4 separate regions of the Mus musculus genome follow, and all the other regions are reported to be linked to region 4. The links are microRNA targets in miRTarBase. Many come from high-throughput screens and were not tested one by one. Region 4 holds a microRNA gene; each other region holds the end of a gene's coding sequence. Distances are from middle to middle.

Region 1 (4,259 bases), not on the chromosome of region 4:
AACTATGACACGAACTATAACCGGTCTGGTTGTAGCATAAGGGAAGCTACACTATGTCAACGCCTTTTCTATTTGTGTGTGCACATTCATGTGCATTTGTGTGTGCCAAAGTACATGTTAGAGGCCAGAGACTGATACTGGTTATCTTCCTCTTATGTTTTGAGACTGGTCCTCTACACTGGGACTCGCGGATTTGTCTAGGCTGGCCATGGAGCTGGCTTGTTTGCTATCCCCCTAGCACTGGGATTGGCACAGTAGTAGCATCTCTTGCCATACCTGGCTTTTCTGTAGATGAAGGGGTTCACGTTTGCCCAGCAGGTATTTTATCCAGTAACCCATATCCCCGGTTCTCAGTGCCCTAAGATGCAGAACACGAACCTGTCACCCAAGTTATGTCTCCCTGACCACTACAGAAAGAAACCTCAAAGCTTACCTGTGGAGGAAATGTCTGTAACACCCATGGAGGACACAGGTTCTTTATGAACCCTCACAAACAGCAGCAGAAAGCGTCTCAGTCAACAGTTAGGAGCTGTTCCTCATACTGAAGTCTTCTATTTTCTAATTGTACCTTTAAGCTCCAACACCGTTAGCCATGACATCAGCTCTCCCATAGTGTGTAAGTATTTGAAACAGTGAGAATTCACTTGAGAATTCACTCTCCAGACGAACTTTCCTCTTGAGGGCTATTTCCAAAGTCATCACCATATTGTTGGTTTCTCAAACACTTGTGATGCTAATTAATACAAGCCTGCTGAAAATGTAGTTCTTAGGATGGGTCATAGTAGCCCATTCCTTATGGGAGCTAACCATATTGGGATCCAGAGGGACTTTCGATCTGGATACAAACATCTTCCAGTTCCCTCTTCAAAGGCTTTGTGCTTCCCACAGGCCCCTCCCTATATGTGCTAAACAGTGAACTGCTACTGATATTTGGCTAGAAGGTCACCAAGACTTTTGGTTGCCAAGTCACATCATCACAGTGAGGTTTTGCCTCTACCTGACAATGGGACTTGATTAATTTTGTTTTATGTTTGTCTTAGTAGAGGAATCTTTCAATTTTAATAACATGTTCATATATAACTATTCCAGCTGTTATTTATATGTTAGTATTTTTTAGTGGATTTTCTTGCTTTTAGCCAAAGGACTTGCTATTCCCCCTCTTTATTCAATAGCTAGGAATCCACTTAGCCAAAGTTATCCAGTCCTATCTCTCAAGCACAAAGGTATGTCAACAGAGACACCAAGTACCTTGATGGGCACAGTGAGCACTTTCTATAAAACTTTCTTAGGTATCCAGCTTCTCTGATGACAAACGCTGCAGACATTGTACCTTGGGAAGAACACTTTAGAGCTGCCTCTGGGTATCTGAAAATCGCCGGTGGAAAGCTTGAGAACAGAGGACGAGCACAGCGGAACAGGGGTACCAAACCTGTTCCTTATGAGGAAATGGAACATGCAGGAATATCCAACCAAATAGAAGCCCAAGCAGAGGGTGGTGGCATCCACCTATAAACACAACACGAGGGGTGGTTGCGCGGCTGATTCGCTGTGCCTTTAACATTAAAAGACAAAAGTACTGTGAGCTCATTCTCACGGACAATGATGTCACTTTATTGTGTGCAGTCAGTCTTTTACACACTGGCTATTAGCTTTTCCAAGTAAAGTAAGATTTATGATGAAGTTATTTTTGAAGGAGACAAACCGGGCAATAATAGAAAAAGCTGAAGAGAGTTTTTTTTTTTCTTTCTTTTTCTCCTTTTTTTTGTCTGAAAGTAGGAAACAAAAATGGGGGTGGGGACAGATGTGAGACGCTTCCAGAGGTTTCTACCACCACCATAAAAGCAGCTGGGAGAGCATAGCACTTGCTAGCATGGGTGAAGAAGCCGGAGGTTTGATGCCCAGCCTTGTAAAAATCAAATCAAACTACATAAACAAAGGGCTTCCCTGCTGTGTACCAGCTCTTGGTACTCTGTATAACTTTATTACACGACATAATATTTTATTGAACACAAAGTCCACCGGGTCTAAAGAACAGACAGGCTCTAATTTCGTTTCCTGCCAGGAAAGTCATTCCTCAGGTATGTGTGGAGAAACAACTCAAAGCCCTGTGGAAAGTCCGATCACAGCTCATTTACATTTTCTCCTCTCTATCCTACTTGGCTTCCGTTTGGAGTAGACTCCCAAGGCTAAAATAATGCTGTGAGCTCACTACTCTGAGCTGGAAACTTAGGTCCCAATAAAAGGAGTTGGAGATCTGGAGGTTCACTTAACAGTCGCCATATGAAACAGCCTGCTGGACAGCCTTTTCCCACAGCTCGGTTGCCCACGGAACACTTGGGAGCAGCTGTTCGCAAACGCTCTGCTCCAACGCACTCTTTTCTGGAGTTTTCAAAGCTAAGTTCCAGTGGATGTCATCTCTCCCCCTGGCACTTCAACACACTGTGACTACAGGGCCGACCTACCACTTTCAGGGAGGCAAGGTCAGAGTCTTATTAGAAACGTGAGAACTGAGCTGAGTGAGGCAGCTCACACCTGCGCCCCTAAGGCTTGGGAGGCCGAAGCAGGGGAATTACCATGAGTTCCAGGCGAATCTGGCTCCATGGTGAGATGGTGCCTCAAGCAAACAAAATAAAAAAAATATATATATATAAGCAAAACAAGCAGAAACAAATACATAGCAAATACTAAAAGTCGAGAACCCAAAAGATGCCTAAGTTCTCTGCTTCTCTCACTGTGACTGCAACCGAAGACTTGACATTTGAGCTTCTAGTGCAAGACACAAAACTTATATACTAGGCCAGTTGAAACAAAATTTAAAAATATTATCTAAATAATAATATTAACTTTAGAAATTAAATTTTAGAAGGGAAAGAACCCCAAATCTAAGTGGAGCTATGTAAGTAAGTGTGACAGAAGCCGAGAATCACAAAGCTCACTACAAAAGACAAACAGCATTGAAGTGTATCCTGCGGGCCTTGACACACACAGGCAAACTGTCACTTAGTTGTGAGGCAGAGGGTCAAGGTTGACACAGGGCTCTGAGAAAATATTTACCAGAGAGAACATGCTGATTCACTTATCAGTCCAGGAATCTCAAGTATAAAACTTCAAGATATAAGAAAGATCAAATTATATCATGTATGTGATTCAATTTAAAATGTCTTAGCCCTCTTACATTATATTATCTGGATTATAACAGTAAAAAAATCAAATTACAGTCATATGAAACTTTTATCAAAAGAAATCAAATCTGTTTTTATGAAACTTTATAGTACAATTATTTTTAGTGGGTCTTTTCTTAGGTCACAGTATTTATAATTCCATTTACATCTGTATAATTTTTAAAATGAAGAAACAAAAGCAAATGAATAGAAATCTAAGTTTTCCTTTGTAAAACTGCCTTCAGTCTCCAGGCCGGCACCACATGGCGGACGGTGTTGGCTTGTCCTCCAGCCACGGACAGCCCCCAGCGTCCCTGCTTTACGAAGCATTCAGGCCTCGACTCATCAGGAATGCTTTCTGGTTTGGCTCACGTTGCAAGAAATTCTGGAGCATGTCCATGCCGTCCAGGGACCCCCCAGGCTTCAGGATTAGGTTTCTGTATTTCATTCCAACCTAATAAAAGAAAACATCATGCCTAATAACTCACGGGCCCAGCAATCCTCCAGATCCCCAGACACAAGGGAGAGAGAGGTGAGGGCGAGGAAAGGGGCTTCAGCTCTACTCGAGTCTAGACAGTTCTGCTCACGCAGCAGCTCGCTCGCTCCTTCCTTCCTTCCTTCCTTCCTTCCTTCCTTCCTTCCTTCCTTCCTTCCTTCCTTCCTTCCTGTAGTTAAGAGATTTGGAGCTTTAGCCTCAGGCCTGAATTCCCTGTGGAATATTAATTATTGTCTCCTGTCCTTAGATTCTCAGCTGTGAGCTGACAATGAAGGCAGGCAGGGACACCAATCAGCCAAACAGAACACAATTTGCTACTGCCAGTTAGCCCAGTTCCAGTGTGATTCAGAAGGGCTAGCAGAGCAAGTGTTCCCAAGGCTATGGGGCTGCATGTGCTTCGGAGCAGGAACTCGGCTACTGTCAAATGCCTTCAGGTATTTTTATAAGGGGCTCACGAAAAAACAAAACAACCCCCCACAAAGAAACCTAAGCAGCATTCTTGTGGATGGCTAAGTGACAAGTGATTCTGAGGGGTCAGGAGTGGAAGGACAGAAGTTTTGAGAGATGGAAGTCTGGAATTTGAAAACAAACCACAGTTCCTC
Region 2 (4,259 bases), 48 Mb from region 4:
CTTACTCATAAAAATGTCAGTAGTTTCTCCCCTAAATAACAAACATTTACATCAGAGAAACCTCCAGGCATAATTTCTTTGGTTTTTACAGTCATTGTGTGTGTGTGTGTGTGTTCTGCGAGTGTGTGTTTTGCCTACATGTATGTATGTAAACTTGTATGTATGTATACTTGGTGCCCTTGGGAGTCAGAAGAGGGTGCTGAATCCCCTAGGGGCTGGACTTAGAGACAGTTGTGAGCCACTGTTTAGGTGTTGGAAACCAAATGAGTCTAATGGTCTAGGTCCTCTATAAGAGTGGCCAGTCCATGCATCAAAAGATGGCCTAGTCGGCCATCACTGGAAAGAGAGGCCCATTGGACACGCAAACTTTATATGCCCCAGTACAGGGGAACGCCAGGGCCATAAAAGGGGAGTGGGTGGGTAGGGGAGAGGGGGTGGGTGGCTATGGGGGACTTTTGGTATAGCATTGCAAATGTAAATGAGCAAAATACCTAATAAAAAATGGAAAAAAAAAAAAAAAAAGAGTGGCCAGTCCTTTAAACCACTGAGCCATCTTTACAGCCCCTAGACATAGCTGGTTATATGATCAGAATTACCCTAAGTATCACAGTAAATCAGTAGCCTATGAAAAGAATCTGAGGTTTATTCTACTGCATCTAACACACATGATCATTGCTGCCTTTTATCTCTAAGGGAGGAGAGTCTTATGAAAGCAGCCTTCCTTCAGAGCTTGGTAGAAGACAGAACAGAGTCTGCACTGTCATATTATGAATTCCTCCTGCACATACAGCAGCAAGTGAACAAGTGAGGAGTCGCTGGCGGAGTTCCTGAGGATGCAGTACCTTTCTTTCCTCCTTAAGATTGTGAACAAATGTGATGATGATTAAGATGTTTCACTGTGATTTCAACTAACTATAGCAAAGAAAGGACCACAGCCGAGAGTCAGATGTGCAACTCCAAAATACTGTATTTTTCAAATCAAATAGATGTCTACACAATTGGAAACCTTTTTTTTTCCCTTTGCTGCCAACTATGTTTGAGTTGTTATGGATTGAGATGAGACAATATTGCAGAGGCAAAGAACATTTTATAAAATAAAGACTTCTGTGTTCTGCATTTCTATTTCTCATTTTTTTATTTTTATGAGTTTTTGGCTGCTACATTTAAAAACGTCACAAGACTAAGTGTTTTAGGGACGTTTCAAGTCTATCAATAATGATCTTTTTTAAATTGGAAAATCCAAAAGTCAGTAGACTGTAGAAAAGCTGGAATCCATCCCTTTACATATCTGTTTTTGCCCCGCCCGCCCCCCCCCCCACTTCATTTTGTAGGGAAGGAAAAGGATCATGTTAACTGAAATTGGAGTACACTAGCTCTGGTCCTGCTTGGGAAGAATATAAAGTAAATTGTCAAGCTTTAACATCTGTCAGTATTTTCTCTACTTGAACAAAGTCACTTTAATTTGAGGTGAAAACTAATTAGGTGGTTTTCTGCTGTTTTATTCTGCCGTGAATAAAATTTGAGCTGTCTTCATAAATATATCAGGACTGGCAATGATAATAGGAGCTGGTTCTGTTGGTTCGCTGAGTGGGTTTTTGTTTGGTCCATTTCTGCTGTGGTTGATAGAGTTAAAGTATTACAAGCAGTTAAAGGTTCCCTAGATGCAATCTTAGAATGCATCAGCGTATCTCTAGGAAGTTTAAGGATTAAATTGGAAGCCGTTCATGTATTCTGGGATATTAAAACCTTTTAAGGTATGAATGCTGCTGTTTGAGTTGGTGGATACTAAGATTGTACAAATCCATCATTTTAAAATTATAAAAGAAACTTGATTTGTTATCATGCTCTAAAGACTGCTTGTTTTGATTCAGTTAGAGAACTATTACAGTCAAACTATCAGATGGCTTTTGTTTACAAATAGGTAAATTATCCATGTGTATTTAAAGTGCTATGATGTGTCTTTAAGAGTTTGCCTCAGTTTTCACAGGTTCATCATCTTGTATGAACTTCTTTAGTAATATTTGTGTGTAATACTCAGAGATTTTTTTTTTTTTTTGGTTTTTGTTTTCATAGATTAGAAATGTGTTTACAATCTCCGTCTCATGTGATCACCAATATAATAGTAACTTCCAGGTTTACACCCACACGGGCTGACTGTAACTCCTGGGAAGGGAAGCAGCAGGCCCCTGGAGTGTACAGACAGCTATGCTTGCCAGCTGCTTCCGGACAACTGTGCTTTGTGAGAGTAACAGTGTTAGAGTTCCTTTTCTTTTTTAATTCCAAGCCACACATGATGGTGGCACAGGATCCTAACCCCAGTGCTTGGAAGGCTACGGCTACAGCAGGTCGATTGCTAGCCTGGGCTACATAGCAAGTGCCAGACCAGCTAGACTTTGTCTCAAAAAGACAATTGAAAATTTTTGTTTCAGTGTACATATAGTACATTCAATTGAGGTTTTTTTTTTTTTTAAACTGCTTCATTTATTGAGAAGCAGTTTTCAAACTATAACCAATTAAGTGTATATTATTTCCCCTCTTTTTAAGAAACAGCCATTATATACAATGTTCCTTTAAATGAACTAAAGTTTTCTTTTTAATGGGATTTTAAATGTTAGTATTTTTAGGTTCTTTCTTCATAGTAAGGAATCTTCCAGAGGGAAATGTACTCCTAGGGAAACCTTCCTCGTGCCTTCCCTGAGTGAGTCTGACCCTTATTAGCACCTGCTTGGTTAGTATATTTTACAAATTTACTTTTAAATTTTATTTTAGATATTATATTATGTGCAATCCAGAGTAATTTTATAACAGTTATAAAAACATAACTATTAGGGTTCACAACTTTGTTCTCCAGACAAGAGAATGAACCGTTGTGGAATATTGATATGATTATTTTTTTGCTATATTGAATGTTTTTCAGTTTTGACTTTTTTTTTTTTTGCAGTAAGACACTACCCGTCCTACCATCCTGTATTACTTTCTGATGTAAAGCAACTAATATTTACACTATGCCATATTTTTTTTATTGTAGTTGTAAATTATGAAAGATCCTTGAATTTTCTACAGATCTACAACTACTAAAGTAACAGACAAGGGCAATCTTGATATATAAATCTGAGCATGCAGTTCTACCATAAAAAGTACTCTATTTTTCTAATTTCTAGAATTTTTAAAATAATGTTCCTGTAAGTCTGACATACTAATATTCACTTACGCAGTAACACTTATTTTAGCTTGCATATATTTTAATTTAATGTAATATACTGAGTCTAATAGACTGTTTTGCAATAATTAGAATAAAAGATTTACTTCTTCTAATCAGAGATGCATAACAGCTATTATCTAGGGGACCACCAAATGTGATTTCACAGTTTTAACTATTATAAACACAATTGTTACATAGAAATTTTAATTTTGTAAAGTAGTGTATATGATATTGTAACATTAAGTCCTTGTTCTCAAATCAAAAGTATATGTTGACCTCCAGTGTATTGTGCTCAGTCTTGCTCCCCTGAAATGTTGAGACAAGATTGGTCTTCCTTTTTACAGATTGTAATTTTCACTGTTTTATTCCTGTTTTTTTAAAAAAAAGTCATTTGTAACCCATGCAAACAATGTTTGATCTGTGCTAACTTATAAATTTGGCTATTCAATAAAGTTAATCAAAAGAGCTTATGAAAATGTTAGTTATTGAAGATAGTCTAGATTGGTGGCCTTCCTGCCTCTACACGGGTTTGTTTTGGGGATAGCTCTCCTATAGCCTCATCTAGCTGCACACTGACTATGTAGCCAAGGACAGAACTGTGACCTGATCCTCCTGCCTTTACCTCCTAAGTACTAGAATTACAAGAGTGTCCCACTGCACCTTGACTTATACGGTACTGGAAAAGTACATAAGGGGCCTTCACTTGAGCTAGGCAAACACTCTACCCTGTGAAACCATAGCTTCAGCCTTACACTGAATGCTTGATGCTCCACAAGGGTAGCTAGGTTTGGATTCCAGATTGGACAGGATGGCTTTCTGAACGTTGGTGCCTTAAAAGATGACTAACCTATAGGCCCAACTATTGTTTGCCGATTGTCTCCTAGCCTTTGGTGGTTTTTATCCTTAATACTCTACAGTGTTATTTCTCTGGGCTTGTTGTTTACCTTGCTTTTTCTTCAGGTGATACTCTAATTAGAAGATCCTTGTTCTCTAATTCTGGAAGTTCCTAGCCATCTTCTTTCCGAGTAGTTTTTCTGTTTTGGGGAATTTCTTGTTT
Region 3 (4,259 bases), not on the chromosome of region 4:
TTGGCTTAAGAGGGCTCCACCTGGTTTTGGGGGGGGCGGGGAGGAGGTGGAGGTGTGAGCGTCACATGTAACTAGCCCAGAGGACAGAGATGGGCTGATGTTGTCTCAGTGTGAGCTGAGGGTAGGGCTAGAAAGGAATGGCTCACAGACAGGAGGCCGACAGGGAAGGCATGCAGGGGAACAGCCTATGCAAAGGTTCTGAGACAGGCCATGCGTGTGGCTCCCGGCTTTAGTTCCAGTTCCCGGGAGGCAGAGGCATTGCCCATCTCTGTGCTTTGAGTTTTGGGCCAGCAAGGCTTTGTAATGAGACCCTGTCCCAAGAGAATACAGTCAGCATAGACTGTATGAAATTCTCAGATAGTAAAGTTGTTTGTTTGGTTTTTGTTCTGTTTTTCTTTTAAGCAAGAAAGGAAACAGTAGCTAGACAGGAACCCCACCCTCTCCATGATCTGAGTTCAGTCCCTGAGACCGATGGGGTGGAAGGGGAAAACCTTGCACACAGCGCCCACCCACCATCCACGGGGCAACCTTGCACCCACCACCCATACAGACATGAAGTGAAAGGAGAAAGCATGCAGCAGGCAGGGCCTCCTCCACACAAACCAGGTGCTTCCTAAGTCTCACCAACTATTCCTGTCCCCAGACATCCATTCCTAGTATGTTCTGTGGGGTCCCCTCCACACACCAACAAAACAAAACAAAATCAAAAAAGCCACTCTTCTTTCACAGAAGTGTCTCAACTCTTTAATATCACTGATTTACAGGGTTACAAGCCCGTTAAATATTTCTGAGGTTTAAATACAATCCACAATAAGGTCATAAAATGTAAACTTTCAGTGTTTCTTTTTAAAAATTTCAAAAATCACACCTTACCCCATTGTTGTCTGAGTTTTCCTGTTAATAGCTGAATTTTCCTGAATATTCCGCACAGCTGTGACCATTGTGGGCCTCAGGCCACAGCCTGGGCGGGAACTGACCACAGGGGCCTGACCAGAGGTAGAAAACAGTTTTTTCTTTTTTTTTTCTTTTTTTTAATTTAATTTTTTTAAAATCCACTTATTTATTTTTTCACTTTTACCTGAGTTTGTGTGCAACCCCCAGGCTGTCGGACAAGCCCTTCCCACCCCCAAGAAACAAAAATTCCCCTGTTCCTAACAAAACAGCCCAGCTCACATTTACCCAGAAGGAAAAATAAAATCCACAAAAGCCAAAATTATGTGGAGGTGGGGGAAAAAAAAACCCAAAGTGTGTAAAAATGATTAAAATGAAAGAAAAAAAAATAGACTGTACAGATGCATAACCCTCAGAAATCATTAACCCAGCTGTCCCCAAACCCCATCCCTACCCACCCACTGCAGCTGGACAGACAGACAGACACACAGCCTGGTGGCCTGCGTAAGGGTGACCAGGAAGGTTCTAGAAGCAGCCTGTGCCTGCCCCTCCACCCTTTGCCCTGAGTTTGGGTGTCTCACCTGCCCCACGCCAAGCCCTGAGGTACCAGGTGGACAGTAACGACCCCAGCTCTGACCCCACTCCAGTCTGCATGGGTGCCAACTGAACCCCATGCGAAGGCCTAATGGGGCAACTGAGGCACAGACAGGACCAAGAAGGGCTGCTGAGTATGCCCAGCAGGGGGCACCCCACTACAGTCACAGAGCCATGGGGGGCAAGGTCCCCTGAGTTAGGATCTGGCGCTTCTGGTCACTCACAGAGCCTGAGATACAAGTGGACACCAAGTTCCCACCATGGGCATTGAGAAGGTGACCAGACAAGTGGGTGACCTGGGCGCATTTCTTTTTCTTTTTGGCATCAAAAGACCTGAGGTAGAAAGAAACTTGCCTTGCATGTGCCCACCAAGGTGACCCCCTCAGATAGACCCCACTAGGGACACAGGAGGCTGGCTGCTATATCCCTGAGCCAGTTACCCATGGAGGTGGACTTTGGACAGGGTTGTCAGAAGGGACAAGGACCCCTCAACACCCTTGACCAGGAATGATTGTGCGGCTAAGACAGTGGCCCCAAAACGGGGCAGGCAGAAGCTTCCAGAAGGAAAAGTTGAGATCTCCCTCCCCTCCAAATAGGCGGCACCCCCTCCTGGAAGGATGGAAGGGGTGTGTTGACAACCTGAGACAGGACAAAAGAGGGCCCGATCCCCATAGCATACACTTGGGGGTTCATGGCTCCTGGGGCTGAGGAACAAGCAGGTCCCAGCTCCCAGGTCTGCATATGCCCCACTCCTCTTCCAGGAGAACCCAGCACTGCCCACTTGGGAATGGAGACCAGGCTGAGTCCAGGACAGGTTCCTCCGTCCAGCAGAGAGTATGTATGCAGCTCCAGCCAAAAGGAATCAACGTTTTTTGGTTTTGTTGTTGTTGTTTGACAGGATTTCACTGTGTAGCCCTGGGCAGCCTGAAATTAACTGTAAGACCAGGCTGGTCTACTCGCAGAGTGCTGGGATTAAAAGTATGTGCCACTACCCAGCCTGGTCTTATTTTGCTTCTTTGAGATAGGGTTTCAAGTAGCTCAGGCTGGCCTCAGCCTCTATATGTAGCCAAGGATGACCTTGAACTCTCTCCATCCCCCTGCCTCATCCTCCTAAGAGCTGGGATGACAGGGTGTGCCGCCATGCCTAGTTTGGCTCCTATGGAAGAGACAGCAGGATCCTTCCCGGTTGACTACTGTCACATTCAGGTGTTGTCCCAGCAAGGGGAGTGACAAAGAGGAAGAGAGATGGAACACAGGAGGCTGTGACTCAAGTCTAGTCCTTGCCCTGAGCTAGGCCCGTTGTTGCATCTGTCTCTTGAAAGCAACCTATCCAGGCAAAGAGAATCCAGCACTGTCATCCCTGAGGCACAGGAGGCCACTGCACTCCATGGCTCCCCTACCCGTTTCTAGAACATTCTGTGTCCTGGGTAAGCAATCCAGGTTCCTGAATGATGGAGCCAGTGGGCAGGGCCAGCCTGACCGAACTGTGGAAACTGCTGAAAGCCAGCATCTCCTAGCTGAGCCAGGGGCACTGCAGGACACGCAAGGGCTCTGGGGTGACAAGGGTGGGGACCGACCATGGCTGGTATTTTGCTTTTCTCTTTTTTTAAAAAAAGTCTGTTTCCCTGAATGAACACAAATATATAGATATACAGATAGATTCTTCCTAAGATCCAATCCCTGCCCTCAAGAATAAAATAGAATATTTACAAAATCAGAAACCCCAAACCCTTTTTTAAAATTGCGTTCTGAATGCGGAGATCTTGTTTTAAAAAGAAAAGAAAAATTCATAGCTTCCAAGGTTGGTTTTTCCAAAAGGAACTATGGCTAAAGACCAAGGAACAAAAAAAGAAAAAAAAAACAAAAACAAAACAAAAAATTGTGAACACGCAGTGCCGGGATTCATGAGGTAAACAGACGTGCTTGAATGGGCTGCTCAAGCAAAACCCCGTGGAAGCCTCTGGAAAGGGGACCTCCTTCGGCTTCGAGGTTGCCTTGGTGGCCCTCATCAAATCCATTTCTTGGAGTCTCCGAAACCTGAGAGATTCAAGTGTTCTTTGCTTTGCCCTGATTTATTAAATCTGTTTCTCCATCTATCTATCTTTCTATATATGTATATATATATATATATATATATATATTCTTTCTTTCTTTCTCTCTCTCTCTCTCTCTTTCTCTCTCTCTCTCTCTTTTTTGGCGTCAGTGTGGCTCCTTGGGAATCTACCGGCCCACTGGGATTCTTCTGACGTCCCAGGTTCCCCTGTGTGGCCGTGTGGTCCCTGTGGCAGGTGGGCAGCCATGCAACTTGGTTTCCTTTAAGGCAAGGAGTTGTTTGAGGTAGAAGACATGGTGGGTGTAGACACCCCCGGCAGCCCCACCTGGCCGCCGCTGACAGTGCTGCCACTGGCTCCTGTCCGGCTGCCCGTGGTGGTGTTGGTACCGATGCTGCTGACGCCCCCTTTGCCGGGGGCGGAAGGTGCTGTAGGAGGTGGTGGCTGAGCGAACAACACACCTGGGACAAAGGCAAAGGGAGGGTCGTGTCACAGGGCTGGGCTTTTCAAGGGCACAAGCCTGTGATCCTAGCAATTCGGGGGGCTGAGGCAGGAGGATCACTAGTGTGATGCCAATGCAAGACCAGCCAGAGTGCACTGGCAAGACCCTGTCTGCCAATGGAGCCAAATAAGCGAACTGGCCAGACAGCTCAGTGGGCAAAGCTGCTTGCTGTCAAGTCGGGTGCCCTGAGTTGCATCACCAGGACCTAGGGTAAAAGAAGA
Region 4 (4,259 bases):
GTGTTCAAGTCCACAGCATTTCTTGAACCCCAATCTGTACAGGTTGAAGGGAAGTAGACATACTCTCTTCTTCTACTGCATAGATTCCAATAGTTTGTGATGTGGGCCAGTTTCAAGTCAGACAGGTTAAAACCCTGGCTCCTAAACTTTAGGTGAACTACCTAAGCCAGGTGCTTTCCTGTTCTCTCTCTCTCCTCCCTCTCACTCTCTCCTCCCTCTCTCCCTTTCTCTCCCCCCCCCTCTCTCTCCCCTCACTTATTGGGGGGACGGGAAGCATTTGGTGAAGGGCAGAGGGATAGGTTACATCTGGGAGAAGAGCAGGCTGGGGAAGGGCCTCTGTGGCCTGGAGGTGAGAATGTATAGCTTAGTCCAGGCTGGCAGGGACAGAGGACAAAGCTGAATAGCTGAGAAGGTACTGCCAGCCAAGATGGGGGTGGCTATTCCATGTTATACAGCCATGGCAGGTGAAATGTTCAAATGATAGCCGGGCAGGCATCTCTAGGAACTGCCCTGAGCTGGGAATGTGGAAGTTGCGCTGAATCAAGTCCTGGCTGCTCCAGACCACAGGCTGCAGAGAGGCTCTTCTTGATGGCTGACTGGCCTGCCACACTGTAGTACACACTGCACAGTAGTCTGCACTGTGGCCAGGGAGCAGCTAACCACTGTCATTCCGTAGGGCTGACCCACAAGCTGGCAGCAGGCACAAGCTCTTCCAGGTCAAAGCAAAAAAGACCTGAGCCCAACCTTGGGCTCAGACTAGATGCCACCACTCCACTGTGATTAGAGGGGAAAGAGGCCTCTAATGATCCCAGTGCTGTCACCCCAAGCAAGGGCTGGTTTTGCTGCATTCACAGCTCCCAGACTGGTCTAGGATGGTAGCTCTTTTGTCTGGTCATTTTGACCCTTCTCCTTTGCTGTGATGGGAGTCAAACCTATGTTAGGAAGAACAGTCCCAGGATTTATAGGGCTGTTCGGACATCCCCCCCGTCTGCTGTGACAAAGAGCTACTAGGAAAGCTGAGGACTTTGAAGTGAATTGTTTTTCAGTCACAGTACATCTAAACTCGGTGTAAAATGGTGTGCCTGGGTGGGAAAGCCCCTGTGGCTTGCTGCTTCTGCCACTTCAGTTTCATTCCCCCAAAGACTGAGTCTCCAATATGACTATGTCATACTAAAGGGCCTGGAGGACTACCCAGGACAGCAGCAAGAGAGCCCATGGCCTATGGGTATGAGGAGGGCTGGGCAGGGGGAGCACTTACCCTGAGCGTCAGGGGATGCTCCTGGAGCAGTAGGTCAAAGGTGTGAAGAGAAGGGACAATGAAGATCAATTTTCATGACAGGGGAAGTGTGGCAAGGCAAGGGACAAAGGAGACCAAGGCATGGCTGTCAGATTGCTGGTGATGTCCTGGGCGTGGGGGTGGGGAGTGCTTCGTGCTTCTGGTTGAAGAGAAAATGACCATAGCACAGAAGCACTCCCACCAGCTTTGTCTGTGGCTTCAGGTGACCATCAGCTTAGATGACGGTGAGTGGAGGATGTAGGGACTGAGAACAGCCGAGGAGGAGATCTGTGCTGGGGCACAGTAACAGGGTATTAGGGAGACATGCGACTCTCCATGGAGCTGGGGCAGACCCGGGAGAGCACATAGGCCAGTGGCATGGAGACTTCAGAAGAGCAAGCGAGGGGCTTCCACAGGCAGAGCCCCTCAGTGTTTCGGGGGTTAATATCCCTGGGGGAAGCATGTGGAGCGTTCTCAGTGCCCTGACATCTGCCTCCCTTCGCAGAAGCCCCTGCAGCAGCTATGGAACGCCATCTTGCTTGTGGCCATGCTCCTGTGTACAGGACTTGTGGTTCAGGCCCAACGGCAGGCGTCAAGACAGAACCAGCAGGAGCCTGGAGGCCAGGTGGGAGCCAGACGGTGGAAGCCCTCATACCCGCAGCCCTTGGGCCTGCAAGACTGTGGCCATCTTCTTCCCACAGGAGGATTTGTTCAAACGCCGTGTGGTTCGGAGGCTAGCATCTCTCAAGACTCGGCGCTGCCGGCTGAGCAGGGCAGCACACAGCCTTCCAGAGCCGGGCACTGAGACGTGTGCTGTGTGTCTAGATTACTTCTGTAACAAGCAAGTTAGTACCTAGGCACAGTCAGCTACAAGCTGGCCTGTGGCGTCCCCAATCCTGCTCCCAAGAGACCCTCAAATCTCCAACCAGGACTGTCTTCCAGTCCTTATTATGGCTGGCAAAAGCATACCTGGCAATGGCCTAAGAGTGCTATATGCACAGTCCCGGTGAAGGGCACAGGTCTAGCTCCCATCTAGAGCCTGTGCCCCTCCTCTCACCCTGTAGTGGCTCCGGGTACTGCCCTGTAAGCATGAGTTCCACCGAGACTGTGTGGACCCCTGGCTGATGCTACAACAGACCTGCCCACTGTGCAAGTTCAACGTCCTGGGTGAGCACCAGGGGCCAGGTGGGATCCTGGGCTAACTCCCTAAGCCCCACCTGATGCCTCTTTCCCTGTCTTTCCTTTCCTTACAGGGAACCACTACTCAGATGACTAACTGCCCCAGTGGAAAGTCTGCAGTTCGGGACGGACCCTTCCCAGCCTACACTACAGGAGAGTGGGATGGACAGACCAGCTAGCCCTGTGGGCAAAGGAAAGGTCCCACCATGCCCATGGCGGGTAGAAGGGCCTCCCAGCTCCAGGCTGAACACAGAGCCGGACCCAGCAGGCAAGGAGAAATCATTAAGAGCCCTTCTCTGCAAACCTGGGGTATTTGTGTCTGTCCTCATAGGCGGCTCCCACAACTCTGGGAAGAACATACGGCCATTACACCTGTCCCCAGCACTCCGGAGCGTCAGTGTTGAGTTTTATGCTATCTATTGGGGGATAGATGAGGGGAAAGATGTGTGGCCATGGGACCCACTGGCAGGAACCTGTCTTTCAGGCCAGGGCCTGATCAATGACTTTAAAGTGAGCCTGCTCCGTGACCTGCTGCCTGTCCAGCTGAGTTCTTCCAGGCTGGCTGGGTTCAGAGGCCTTAGAAACCATCTAGTGCTGTATTTCTTGGTTGGGCTAAATGTTACTGACCAGGATACTTGAGGCCACAGAATCTATGTGGTGCATCTGCAAGGGCATCATTAAAAGGAAAAAACAAAAACACAAAACAAATGTTTGGGTAGGGAAGTTTTAATAGTAAAATAAACATGGAATCTATTTTAACATAAATCTGTTAAGACATAAATCTGTGTGATGCTTTAAGATATTAAGGAAAAGATGGGTATGTGGTGACATATGCCAATAATCCCAGAAACATGGAGGTGGAGACAGGAGGATTCATAGTTTAAGACCAGCTGGGCATAGCAGTGCACCCCTTTAATCCTAGCACTGGTAAGGCAGAAGCAGGCAGACCTCTGTGAGTTCAAGGCCAACCTGGTCTACATAGCGAGTTCCGGGACAGCCAGCACTATACAGAGAGACCCTGTCTCAATATAACATCACAAAACAAAAAGTTCAAGGCTGCTGGGCAGTCCCTGCAATCCCCTTGTTCTTTGTCCTCTGGGAAGGGAAACCAGAGGATCATGAACTCCTGATCATCCTTGGCTGCACAGGGAGTTTGAAGTCAGCCTGGGCTACTCTCAAAAAGAAAAACAAACAAAATACCAGTCACCTTGGTTTCTCTTGCTGGGAACAGGTAGAATTCTTAAATTCCTCAAGGCCTTGCACTCCTGGGCTGCACAAACATACCTTGCATAATCTTTAAAATATTGACTCTAAGACATTTTAGCCCCTGTGAACAGGTTATGTAAAGTGACCTTCAGATGAGAGAGGCAAGGACTGGGGCATGGGGAGCTGGTAGAGCACTTGCCTAGAATGCACAAGGGCCTGAATTCAGTTCCCAACACTAAACACTAACAATAAAAATGAGGAAAGCATCTGACCAACACACAAGCCCACGGAAAGCAGGAGGAAGTAGAGGACCTTGGGGCATCCCATACAGGACACACATTGTCTGCTGCACACCCTCCATTTCTTTCTCTTTTTCTTTTTGAGACAGGGTTTGTAAGTGGCTCTGGCTGTCCTGGAGCTTTCTCTGTATACCAGCCTAGCCTCAAACTCAAAGAGAGACTCCTGCTTCTGCCTCCTGAGTGCCAGGATTAAAGTGCTACCATGCCCACCTCTGCTGCCTTCTTGAAGATGGGTGGTACCAATAAGAAGCCAGGCAAGGAAGGCTCCTTGAAGCAGCAAGGCTCCAACCCCACAGCCT

The links. Region 4 holds the annotated microRNA mmu-miR-3060-3p (CCAUAGCACAGAAGCACUCCCA, at 1,456-1,477, shown strand). A microRNA usually pairs through its seed, bases 2 to 8, with sites in the 3' UTR of a target mRNA and lowers its output. Matches are read on the target gene's strand: a 7mer-m8 pairs with bases 2 to 8, a 7mer-A1 pairs with bases 2 to 7 and ends in A, and an 8mer does both.
Region 1: the mRNA of Nln is a reported target of mmu-miR-3060-3p. Seed matches in the 3' UTR shown: 7mer-m8 at 2,674-2,680.
Region 2: the mRNA of Sec24a is a reported target of mmu-miR-3060-3p. Seed matches in the 3' UTR shown: 8mer at 1,947-1,954.
Region 3: the mRNA of Arid3a is a reported target of mmu-miR-3060-3p. Seed matches in the 3' UTR shown: 7mer-A1 at 3,273-3,279 and 7mer-m8 at 2,155-2,161.

Annotation. Positions count from the first base shown.
Region 1 is chr13:104,021,466-104,025,724 of GRCm38, forward strand. Nln (neurolysin (metallopeptidase M3 family)) reads right to left here. Exons shown (of 13, transcript NM_029447.2): 13 at 1,974-3,615. The coding sequence ends at 3,481. Among named protein-coding and RNA genes, the nearest start is that of Gm30967, 14 kb to the right of the region's middle.
Region 2 is chr11:51,691,676-51,695,934 of GRCm38, reverse strand. Sec24a (Sec24 related gene family, member A (S. cerevisiae)) reads left to right here. Exons shown (of 23, transcript NM_175255.3): 23 at 694-3,672. The coding sequence ends at 808. Among named protein-coding and RNA genes, the nearest start is that of 0610009B22Rik, 5.2 kb to the right of the region's middle.
Region 3 is chr10:79,951,478-79,955,736 of GRCm38, reverse strand. It overlaps Arid3a (AT rich interactive domain 3A (BRIGHT-like)), which reads right to left. Exons shown (of 9, transcript NM_001288625.1): 9 at 719-3,997. The coding sequence ends at 3,801. Among named protein-coding and RNA genes, the nearest start is that of Wdr18, 6.5 kb to the left of the region's middle.
Region 4 is chr11:4,137,958-4,142,216 of GRCm38, forward strand. It overlaps Mir3060 (microRNA 3060), which reads left to right and starts at 1,407; the gene lies at 1,407-1,489. It overlaps Rnf215 (ring finger protein 215), which reads left to right. Exons shown (of 9, transcript NM_027859.3): 6 at 1,782-1,901; 7 at 1,978-2,121; 8 at 2,341-2,443; 9 at 2,530-3,236. The coding sequence ends at 2,552. It overlaps Ccdc157 (coiled-coil domain containing 157), which reads right to left. Exons shown (of 12, transcript NM_001164620.1): 12 at 3,166-4,259.